2 linked regions of the Drosophila melanogaster genome follow. The protein of the gene in region 2 interacts with the protein of the main gene of each other region in a pairwise test. Each region holds a gene or a part of one and is shown on either strand. Other genes may lie near its edges.

Region 1 (4,987 bases), on a different chromosome or scaffold from region 2:
CAATTACTCAGCCGACAGTGAAAGCCACATCGATGACACGAGCCTTTTTTTTGTATACACAGGGAAAAACAAATTGACGCAATTAAAGGCAATTTATAGATAAATATGAAAATATAACAAATAATTAGTGAATATACGTTAAATTCAGCTTAAACATGTTGATCGTTTAATTTTAAAGCTTGAATAATATATGCATGTTATACTAACTAAAATTGTATTTTATTTTAATCGCAGGATACTTCCGACGATTCCGACTCAGAGGCGGAATCGGAGGAGCAGCAGCGGCGGTCATATCCCCACCGCGACGAGGACCAACTGAACTCGGCCACCAATTTGGTTTTGGCACAGAACTACAAGTACGATGTGGAGATCCTGGAATCCGGCGATGCCGACCAAGACGACAGTAGCATGGATGACGTGGACGATCTGGAGGAGCGTTTCAAGGGACGCGGTGTGATCTTCAGCACGGACACCGAAACCTTCGCCAACGAGAACATCGAGATGAGCCCGCTGAACGTGCAGGCGGATGCGGTTAGCCAGGGACACGTGCTGCTCGGCATCGTGGTGGTGGCACTGGCCTTGGTCTCCATCGGCCTGTACGCCGGCCTGGTCATATGGCGCTCGCACCTGGAGTGAGTTCTATTGGCTAATTGCTCTAATTTTCAGAGTGCTAACTCATTTACCATCTCTTTTCACCATCATCAGGCAGCGGTATGGAATGCGCGAACGACTGGTCAATCACGACTTGGAGGATGAAGCGGCTGGTGTCGACGACGTCGATTATCAGGTCTATGCGCCAACCACGACGGCAGCTACGCCTAGGGCGTAGTCCGTTTCGAAATCTGGTCCGATTCGATTCGATCCGATACGACGGTGGGCTTCAATTGGACCTGGTTTCGGTTTAAAGTGCACACTCACCACACAATTCAGACGAGACGACGACGATGGCAATTCATTGCAGCCTCAGCTAGGATGGTGGTGGAGAGACGGTGCTCAATCGTCTAATGTATGCCATAAATTTCCACGACAAGCTGAAAAGCATTCCGCTTCCCAATTACACTCTAATGGCGTTGCTAAAGGTCACGCCGATTTCTAACAGCGCAGTTGACAAGACCAATTAGTTAGTAAGTTTCTGTGATATTGTTCTAGAGATTCTTTTGTACGTCCTTGCACTAACAATACGCATAGAACCCACGTTGCTAATCGATAATAAAAACTATATGTAAATGTAAATGAATATTTAACTTAGGCGTCTTTATTTTGTTGATGGTAAATTCCTGCAAGTTACCTCTTTCACAGCTGCTTAAGACTCTGTGGTTTTCAAAATACTGGAATTATTTAATGGATTATAAATGAATAAGCAATTTAAAAATAACCAAAACATGTTATCTGACTTGATTCATTTTGAGTTTTATTGGATATAAATCTTCACAAGCCTTGTTTACACTTAACACACTCAGGTAAGCCATTAAATTAAAAATAGCCACACAAAGAACGAGTTACACACCCAATAAAATGCAGTAGTATAAGGTATTTTTGGAGTTAACAATTACATTGCTTTTATTTGTTATGCATTTATTCTTTCTTAACCCTAAAATAAAAAAGGTTTCCCTTTAAAAATTGAAATAATTTGTTTTCGTACAGGTATTTATAGCTCAAATTTGAATTTGAATTAGGCGCGTTTTCTTAATTAACAACACTGAAATAATATCTAAAGCGCAGCCAACTTTGCTCAGATAGCTCATGGGTACCACAAGACTAAGAACTAGTTCACAAATATGAATATTCAACAAAAACACCTTCTGGCTGACAGATAACTAGGCAGAAGTGGTGGTCTTTCTTACTTATTAGCTAAATGAAACCTTTGTATAGCTTCCTTAGAACGATACATGAAAAACTTAATCTTGACAAGCAACAAGTTTGCTGCATGCGCCGGAACCAGTCAGCAATGCCTCCAATTCGTCCCTGTCCAACACTGCAATCAGCTGTTACCTGGCCAACGCGTTTTTTTTTTTTGGCCTGCACTTTGAACCCCGAGGTTTCGTGCGAATAAAGATACGGATTTGAGTGCGCCTGTCCACATTCCCGCTCGTCCCGCTCCGCCATCCATCGCTGCCTATCGCATTTTCGGTTCAGAATCCCGCGGACCTTGCTGCCGTGCACATCGCATCGCATTTCCACAGCTGCGTTTTTCAGCATTTTCGTTCGCTCTCTCTCTCTCCGGTTTTTCAGAGCGCTCCGTTCCGCTCTCCCGCTCGCGCGCGCTCCCCTTAACGGTTCCATTGATAAGCAGCGCCACCCGCAGCCCCTGCCCCGCCCCCCTGCCACGCATATTCCGCCCTTCGCATTTCGGAAACTGCAAAAAAAAACCAAACCAAAGCAAAGCAAAAGCAAATCAATCAATTAAGATAGTACGCCGAATAGTGCAGTGCGTGTGTTAATTAATTTTGGTTGCCATTTCGCACATTCTGTATTTATTAATTGGCAGTGCATAGCTTCCGGCGGAAGAGGGCAACTTTCCGTTCATTTTCGAGCTTCCGTTTGTCGGCCAATTAGCAGCAGGTCGACAAAGAAAAAGCAAAAACAAGCGTAAAGGATAAGCCAACATGACGCACTGGGAGGACTTCTACAACACGCACCTGCCGCCCGCGGACTTCGAGGACAATCGCTCCCTGCTCAAGGAGTTCTGCGAACGGCACAACAAGCTCCAGAATCGCATCGTCCTCGTCACGGTGAGCTGGGATGATCCAAATCCGAATTAGGATTAGGATTAGCGCTAAATAACCACTGTACTCCGTTAATTAACTGCCCAAGCTGGTGAAAGCTTTCATGGTTGAGCCGAGCGCCTGGGGCATTAAAAACAAATGTGTAAAGTGTGGAAGTGAATAAATTTAAATTGGCTAGAACAAAGTTCGTAAATGTTAAACACATGCAGGGGCGCATGCATAAACAATTAGCATTTTGTGAATGGAGAAAACAAAAGTTGTTAAGTGTTTTTTTAACATACTTTAAAAAACCAAAATCACCTTTTTTTTGTTAGTTTTTAATTTAACATTTTAGAAATTTAATCTTAGTTAAGTTTCACTTTAAGTTAAGTTTTCCACTTTAAAATGCTGCTATGCGTAAATAATATATATTGCAAATATCTGCAAGTCTTGCAAATACTTGATTCGCCTCCTAAAGCTCAAAGTTAAATATGAAATTATGTGGGTCAACTGGTGTTTATTCACTGGGGCCAGCTTAATCCGAACATGATTTACGCAAATAGTTAACAACGAGGCACATTAGTTTCTCTCTATAAGATTTATGGTCAACTTGCTGATTTATCTGCCTGATTTGAATAACTAAATGCTGCCAAATATCTTGGATTTGTTCTAAGTCATTGGATTTTACATGAAAGGGACTTGGTTATTCTAATTTGTTTTATAAGAAATTATTGTAATGATTTGCACAAAACTGTTATTGTGCCTATAAGAAAGGATGTTAAAGGGGAGAAAATACATAAGAAGATACAAAACAAGAGAAAACTAGTCGAGTTACTCGGCTGTCAGACACCCAGTACTAAGAAGAACATCAAAAATTTATATTTGATATTAGTAAAAATGGTTAGAATCTGCATATCTAAACTTAATTTTGCAGATCTGGTAGTTACCAGGATCACAGCGTTCATACGGACAGAAATACGGACAAATGGACGGACATAGATTTCAGCGATTCTAGTATGCCCTTTCAACTCTACGAGTAAAGGGTATAACCACCACGAGCATTTAACCCCAGTTTTTGAACATGAAAATTTAATAGAGAATAGAATTTAAAAGTTGCTTTAATTGCAACATAACGATTAGGAAACAGAATAATCAATATTAAATAGGAGCAAAGAAAAAATACCAAAATGAACCAAAATATTTTCTAAAAGAACCCTAATTTGTTCAACATTTCCAGTCCGGTGGCACCACAGTTCCCCTGGAGCACAATACGGTGCGGTTTGTGGACAATTTTAGTGCTGGAACGCGTGGCTCCGCCTCGGCGGAATACTTCCTCGACCACGACTATGCCGTGATTTTCATGCATCGCCACAAGTCGCTGGAGCCCTTCACGCGCCACTTCACCGGCCAGCAGTTCTTCGACATGCTGGACATTGCGGACAACAGCCAGAGTTCGACGATAGCCATCAAACCGGATTCGGTGGACGTGTTTGCTCCGGTGCTGGCCAAATACAAGATAGCCCGCGAAACGCAGATGATCCTGTACGTGAACTTCACCAGCGTGGTGGACTACATGTGGCTGCTCCGCGCCGCCTGCGAGTGCCTGGCCGCCTTCGAGGAGCGAGCCGTGCTCTACCTAGCCGCAGCCGTATCCGATTTCTACATACCCGAGGACATGATGGTAAGATGAGACTACGGACGATGCCGGATGAGGCGGGTGGGCGGTCATGTGGGAAATCTCGTAATTGATTGCGCTCCTCACTGCGACGAGTGCGGAATGAGTGAGTGGAAATTGGTTTTTATCGATTCCCAAAGCTGCACTGCGGCAAATTAAGGATGTAGTACTTAAAAGTAAGGCCATGGCATAGTGATTGTGAATTCGTATCGATTTTCAAAGCAGCAACTACTAGTTGACATTGCAAAAGCGTCAATCATTTTGATCCTGATTTTGCTGATGCATGGAATGTATGTATGTATAATGCACTTTAAAGCACCATTTCCTGGCAGTGTGTTTCTAGTTGTTTTCGCTACCCTTGTGCCTGGTGCTCCTTCCGATTCCCGGTCGCTGTGCAAGTCCCCGGTCTGTGACACATTTCCTCTCCACATTATTGACGTTCGACTGGGCTAAGTCAACTATGGCTGCTGCTGCTGCTCCTCCAGTTCCTCTCTAGCTTCCTCCAATTCCATCCACTGGCCAGCAGGAGCCTTATCACAGGCTGTCAGTGTCACTCACGCTGGCCTTGTGGCCTTGTCCGCCAGCAGCCTTAACATTGTCATCGTAT
Region 2 (4,794 bases):
ACTTTGTAGCTAGGAAAACTTAAGCAACTATAGATATTTCGATGTGAAATATATATCATATTATATTAAGCATTTTTATATGGTATTGTTAGCACGCGCTCAATATAATATTCAAGTACCTAAATACATTTTCTTCACTGTGCATTTTTGTATCTTATCAAAGACAAGGCGTGGTATCATTTACTTTTTCAGAGCTTATCAATGTGATTGCTTGTGGTTCGATACTTTATTGCCTTTCTGTTTATCAAGAAGCTAAAGTGTAAATATTTACGACCTTTGGAAACTTTGCAATTAAATTCGCCGTGCATTTATCCTAGACTCAAACCCAATTGCACTCGCCGCAAGGCGCGCATTTCAAAACTGCAATCGAGCATTTCTTATCAGAGTTTTGGGGCTTTGCACAAGCAACTGCAAAGCTGAAAAATATATATTTTATTTGAGGAGGAATATATATTTTTGGAAAATATAAAAACGGTTACCGGCTGAATAAAATGAATGGCCATAAAGCCTAATCTCAAGAACATTTATTGCTTGACCATCCAGAAAATTTAATTAAAAATGGGACCGTTTAGAATCTACTTGTGTGTGCTGCTATATATTTCACTATATTTCTTATCTTGGTGGAACTTTTTTTTTAGAGGCAGTTAACGGATTTGTGGGCCATTTACCCAGGCATTATGTATACATATGTATGATTTAATAGCTATATTTCTCCATTAAATCCACTGGCAGGGCATCCATTGGTGGGGGCCACTATCAGTTGAGCGTACTTTTGACTTTGAGCCAAATCGGCGCAGCTTATCAGTGACGTCCCATTCGCAGCTTACGATTCCCTGTCTTTCAATTGAATATATGTATATAGCTTTTCTGATTTCTGCACTTTGAAACGCCAATTGCGTAATGCAAAAAATGAGCAAACGAACAAAGAATCTTTTAGAAACATGACAATGACCAAAGATCGACATTACCTCCAAAATACTATACTTTTCGCACTCAAAAATCAGCATCAATCAGCCGCAGATTGTTTGCTTTCTTTTTAGCGACAGCGAATTTATTTGTTTTTAAATTAAAAATGTACTAAATGCCGGTCCCGAAAAATACACAAATGTATGCTATTTTATATACGCACATATGTATCTTTGGAATATATGAATGTATGTGTATATATATAGGTATATTGTTTAGACGAGACAAACTGAAACTTGTTGGCAATAACTTTTTGGAAAACCGGTTGCGGTTTTGATGGCATTGATATAGACGAAAGGGTTAAGAATTAGGGGAAAGGGGTAAGAATTTGGGAATGAGAAAACATCGATACAGTGATCTCTGCTTAATTAAGACAAATTCAATACGATGCCGATATATAGATATAGATAGATATAAAATAATATATCCAATAGAATTTTTATATGATAACCATCTAAAGCAGCTGTGCATAGAACTTTTGCGTATTAATTTAAGAAACATTACCTCCAAATATTTATTTTAAATAAATTTTTCAAATTTTAACATTTTTTTTTTTTTGAGACAACTTTTGTTAGTCACTGTTTATCTGCGATATATATATATGCAGCGTATCGCTTTTGTTTGTGATTGTTTTGACAACAAAACTGGCTTATGCAACGAACTGTTAAAAAAAAATCTGAAACAGAAAATTATGTGAACTGGCTGCACTTTGCTTCAAAGACCCCGCTCCCCCCTGCACTTTCACCCCCCGCATTGGGGGGATTATCAGACAAACCAACTGGATAAGATAGTAACGATAAGGAATCCAATTAGAACACGGCCATTCGGATTTACTAAAATCACAACTTTTGCCAAACGTTAGTAAATTATATTAAATTATATTGTAACTCCGATTGACACGTAGAGCGCAACGAACAACAGCAACACAAAAAGAAGCAGAAATAACGGGTAAAGGGGGTGTTTTGATGTGCTAATTGGGTTGCTAAACAGCTGTTGACGCCGCACAAATTGAGCACAAAAAAAAAAACAATAACACGGCACGCAATTCAATTAGGGAAACGCACGCAGAACGATAAACAAAATCAGGGTACTATTGTGTATTAGATTTTTTTTTGGGCGCACAAATCACTTTCACTGTCACTTCCTCGCTGCTCCCAATTAGAATTTCTCGGCCACTGTGTTTATATATATGTACATATATGCACATGCATATATACATATATACGTCGGCAGTTCAAGAGCAAAAAATCGATTTTTCGCTGCACTTTTTAGTCGTTTCACCTTGATGGGCGCAAGTGGGCGTGGCGATTATCTAACGGCGTTTGTTGTGATCCCAAGAACTTGCATAAACTTATTAATAAACGCGATATGTCTGTATATAAAATACCTAATAAAAACGTGTGTGCTTGCTTGGCTGCGTGTGTGTGCGCGTACGTGTGTGTGTGTGTGCGAATATGTGCGGCGTGCGAGCTCCAATCAGAATCGTATCAAAAATTCAAAGCTCTTTGGCCGCTAGACGCAATTAAGGAACTGACAACAAGAACTGAAACCGCACCGAGATGGAAAATGAAGTGCTGGCAGTATTTACCGACTATATGTTTTTCTTGCGGGCAAAAGTCACGATGAAGCGGGCAGCGATTAAGTTTTAAAAATATCACGTCTGCAGCCCTCGCAGCCAAACTTTCGATAGACGGCGATAGATCGATAGACCAGCGATTTGCACCAACACTGGAAAGCTCAGAGCATTCAAAAACAAACTAATGTGTTTTATAAATAGCTCTTTTTAAATATCGATTAATTGCGATCTTAACTAACTTTCGTTTATTTCTATTAATTATGAACTTACTTCTGTTTTTAAACATCTTTGCTCTTTGCTTGTTTTTCGTGTAAGGCTTTAAATTCACTTAAACAATTTTGCTGGCTTTGTGCGCATCTTCATATATCACTGAAATTGATTGTTATAGGAGTGTCCCATTGAATTAGTTTTGTGTCGATTCAATCCTGGCCCGAAAATGTATGAACAAGCTATGCCCTACATTTTACCCATAGTCTACTTAGGTTTGTTTATATAGTATTCTTTTCAAGTTCGTTATGATAGCTCTTAGAAAATAAGATTTCTGTGAATATCTCCTCCGTATAAAAGAATTTTTATCAATAGTTTGGTAAGCTTTTTTTTCTCTTCTACAAAACCTTTTCGCATGTTTTATTTCACTCGAAACTTATTGCTATTCAAAAAAATGGGTTTTCTAACGCTAGAATTATGTACAGAGTGCATTTGGAAAAAATGATGGGTAGTAAGCCCTAGAAAGCCATGGCTACGTGCTGATGCCCATGATGGATTCGATGGAGAAACTCAGCTTGGGCTTCTTGCCACTGCCGGTGGAGGCAGTGGTGACTGCGGGCGTGGTCATCGCTGGATTTGTGGGCGGGATCGTTAGCGGTATCGTCGGCGGCATCGGGTGATAAATGTGCTGCTCCTGATGAACGGGTGCGCAGGCGGCGGCGGCGGCGGCAACGGTGGCAAAGTACAAAGCGTTACCGCCCAGCGTCGCCTCCATGACATGGTTCAGTTCCGGATCGGCGAATGCCCGCCGTTTGCGCATGCGCTCCATCAATGGCGAGCTGAACGTGGGAAATCGCTGTTTGTATTCTGAAAGAGAACGAACCAAAAGGAATGGTTGAAATTAGTGAGGGTTTTGGTGGGGGCGTTATCACTACAAATTGCCGCGATTCGTTATGAATGGGTATTCCAAATTGAAACAATTTATTATTGGGTAATCCGAGACACGCGTCGCCTGACCAGACAGCCTGGCACCGTTTTTTTTTTTTTGTTTTTTTGTTTCAACTTCGGACCGGTTTCGGGATCTCCACTTATTCGGATGGAACCAGATGGAAAACCCAGAAAGAAGTCAATTGCTGTTGCCACATTTGGCTCTTTTTGTGAGTCGGATGGGTTTTTCCGTTTTTGGTCGCGTCTCAGCTTACCGAATGTGACTCCCCTCAAGTGATTGGAAAATGTGCGTACACTGCACACACACATTTCGAAGCATCCGATTTCAATTGTTTTTCGTCAGTCGAATAATTGCTGTTGTTATTGTTGGGCATCAGTCATTTCCTGTCCACGACCACGACCACGTCCATGGACAGAGGAAAAGAGACGGAAGATGGGCGGCGGGAGACAGGAGACTGGAGACCGGAGAGGATCTCCGATTACGAACGGACCAGACAGTCTGGCACCGTATGGGAAAGCGTGTGAGTAGGGAATGTACTTATCATTTCAGCTGTGTCGTCTACTTTACGACATCTAATAATTTCCAAATTGGAAAGTGTCTATTTGATTGCGGACTCATAGATAGATATCCTTTTTGATATGTACATAAATCCTTATTTATGTAGTCCCATACTAACCTTCCATGGCGGCTGTGATATGCAATGTGGATTGCTGCAAACTGCGTAGTCTCTGCTTGTAGATCCTCTTTTGGGCCATCAGAGCCTGTCGGGTGGCCGAGGATGAAGATGAGTTGCTAACGCAAGATGTGGGATGCGAATGCGAATGTGGATGTGAATGTGCCGGCGGTGGTGAAGTGGAGCTGAGGGAGTCCTCGCCCTCGCTGCTGCTGGAGTTGTTGGCACTGGCCGTTGTTACGCCCGTGGATTTTGTAGATGATGCGGTGGCCTCCAGAGCCTCCATGGTTTGCTGACGTCGCAGGGCCACCTGGGCGGCCATCACCCGCTGGCGATCGACGACCAGTTGGCAATTGGGGCAGCAGCATTCGCGCCAACGGCACAGACGCTTGTGACCCTTGACACAGGAGATGACGCCGTGAT

The links. Proteins that work in one complex are often made in the same cells at the same time.
Region 1: the proteins of CG1640 (region 2) and Ppcs interact in a two-hybrid assay, tested with the Drosophila melanogaster proteins (one large-scale study listed by BioGRID).

The regions. Positions count from the first base shown.
Region 1 is NT_033777.3:19,144,880-19,149,866, reverse strand, and holds the start of Ppcs (phosphopantothenoylcysteine synthetase), read left to right. Parts: upstream 1-1,956; 5' UTR 1,957-2,606; coding exon 2,607-2,732; intron 2,733-3,942; coding exon 3,943-4,386; intron 4,387-4,987. Other genes in the region: CG5835 (uncharacterized protein), read left to right, coding at 235-632, 706-829.
Region 2 is NC_004354.4:13,368,821-13,373,614, reverse strand, and holds the start of CG1640 (uncharacterized protein), read right to left. Parts: upstream 3,010-4,794; 5' UTR 2,829-3,009; coding exon 2,813-2,828; intron 2,621-2,812; exon of another isoform or gene 2,089-2,620; intron 1-2,088. Other genes in the region: dmrt11E (doublesex-Mab related 11E), read right to left, coding at 3,282-3,616, 4,375-4,794.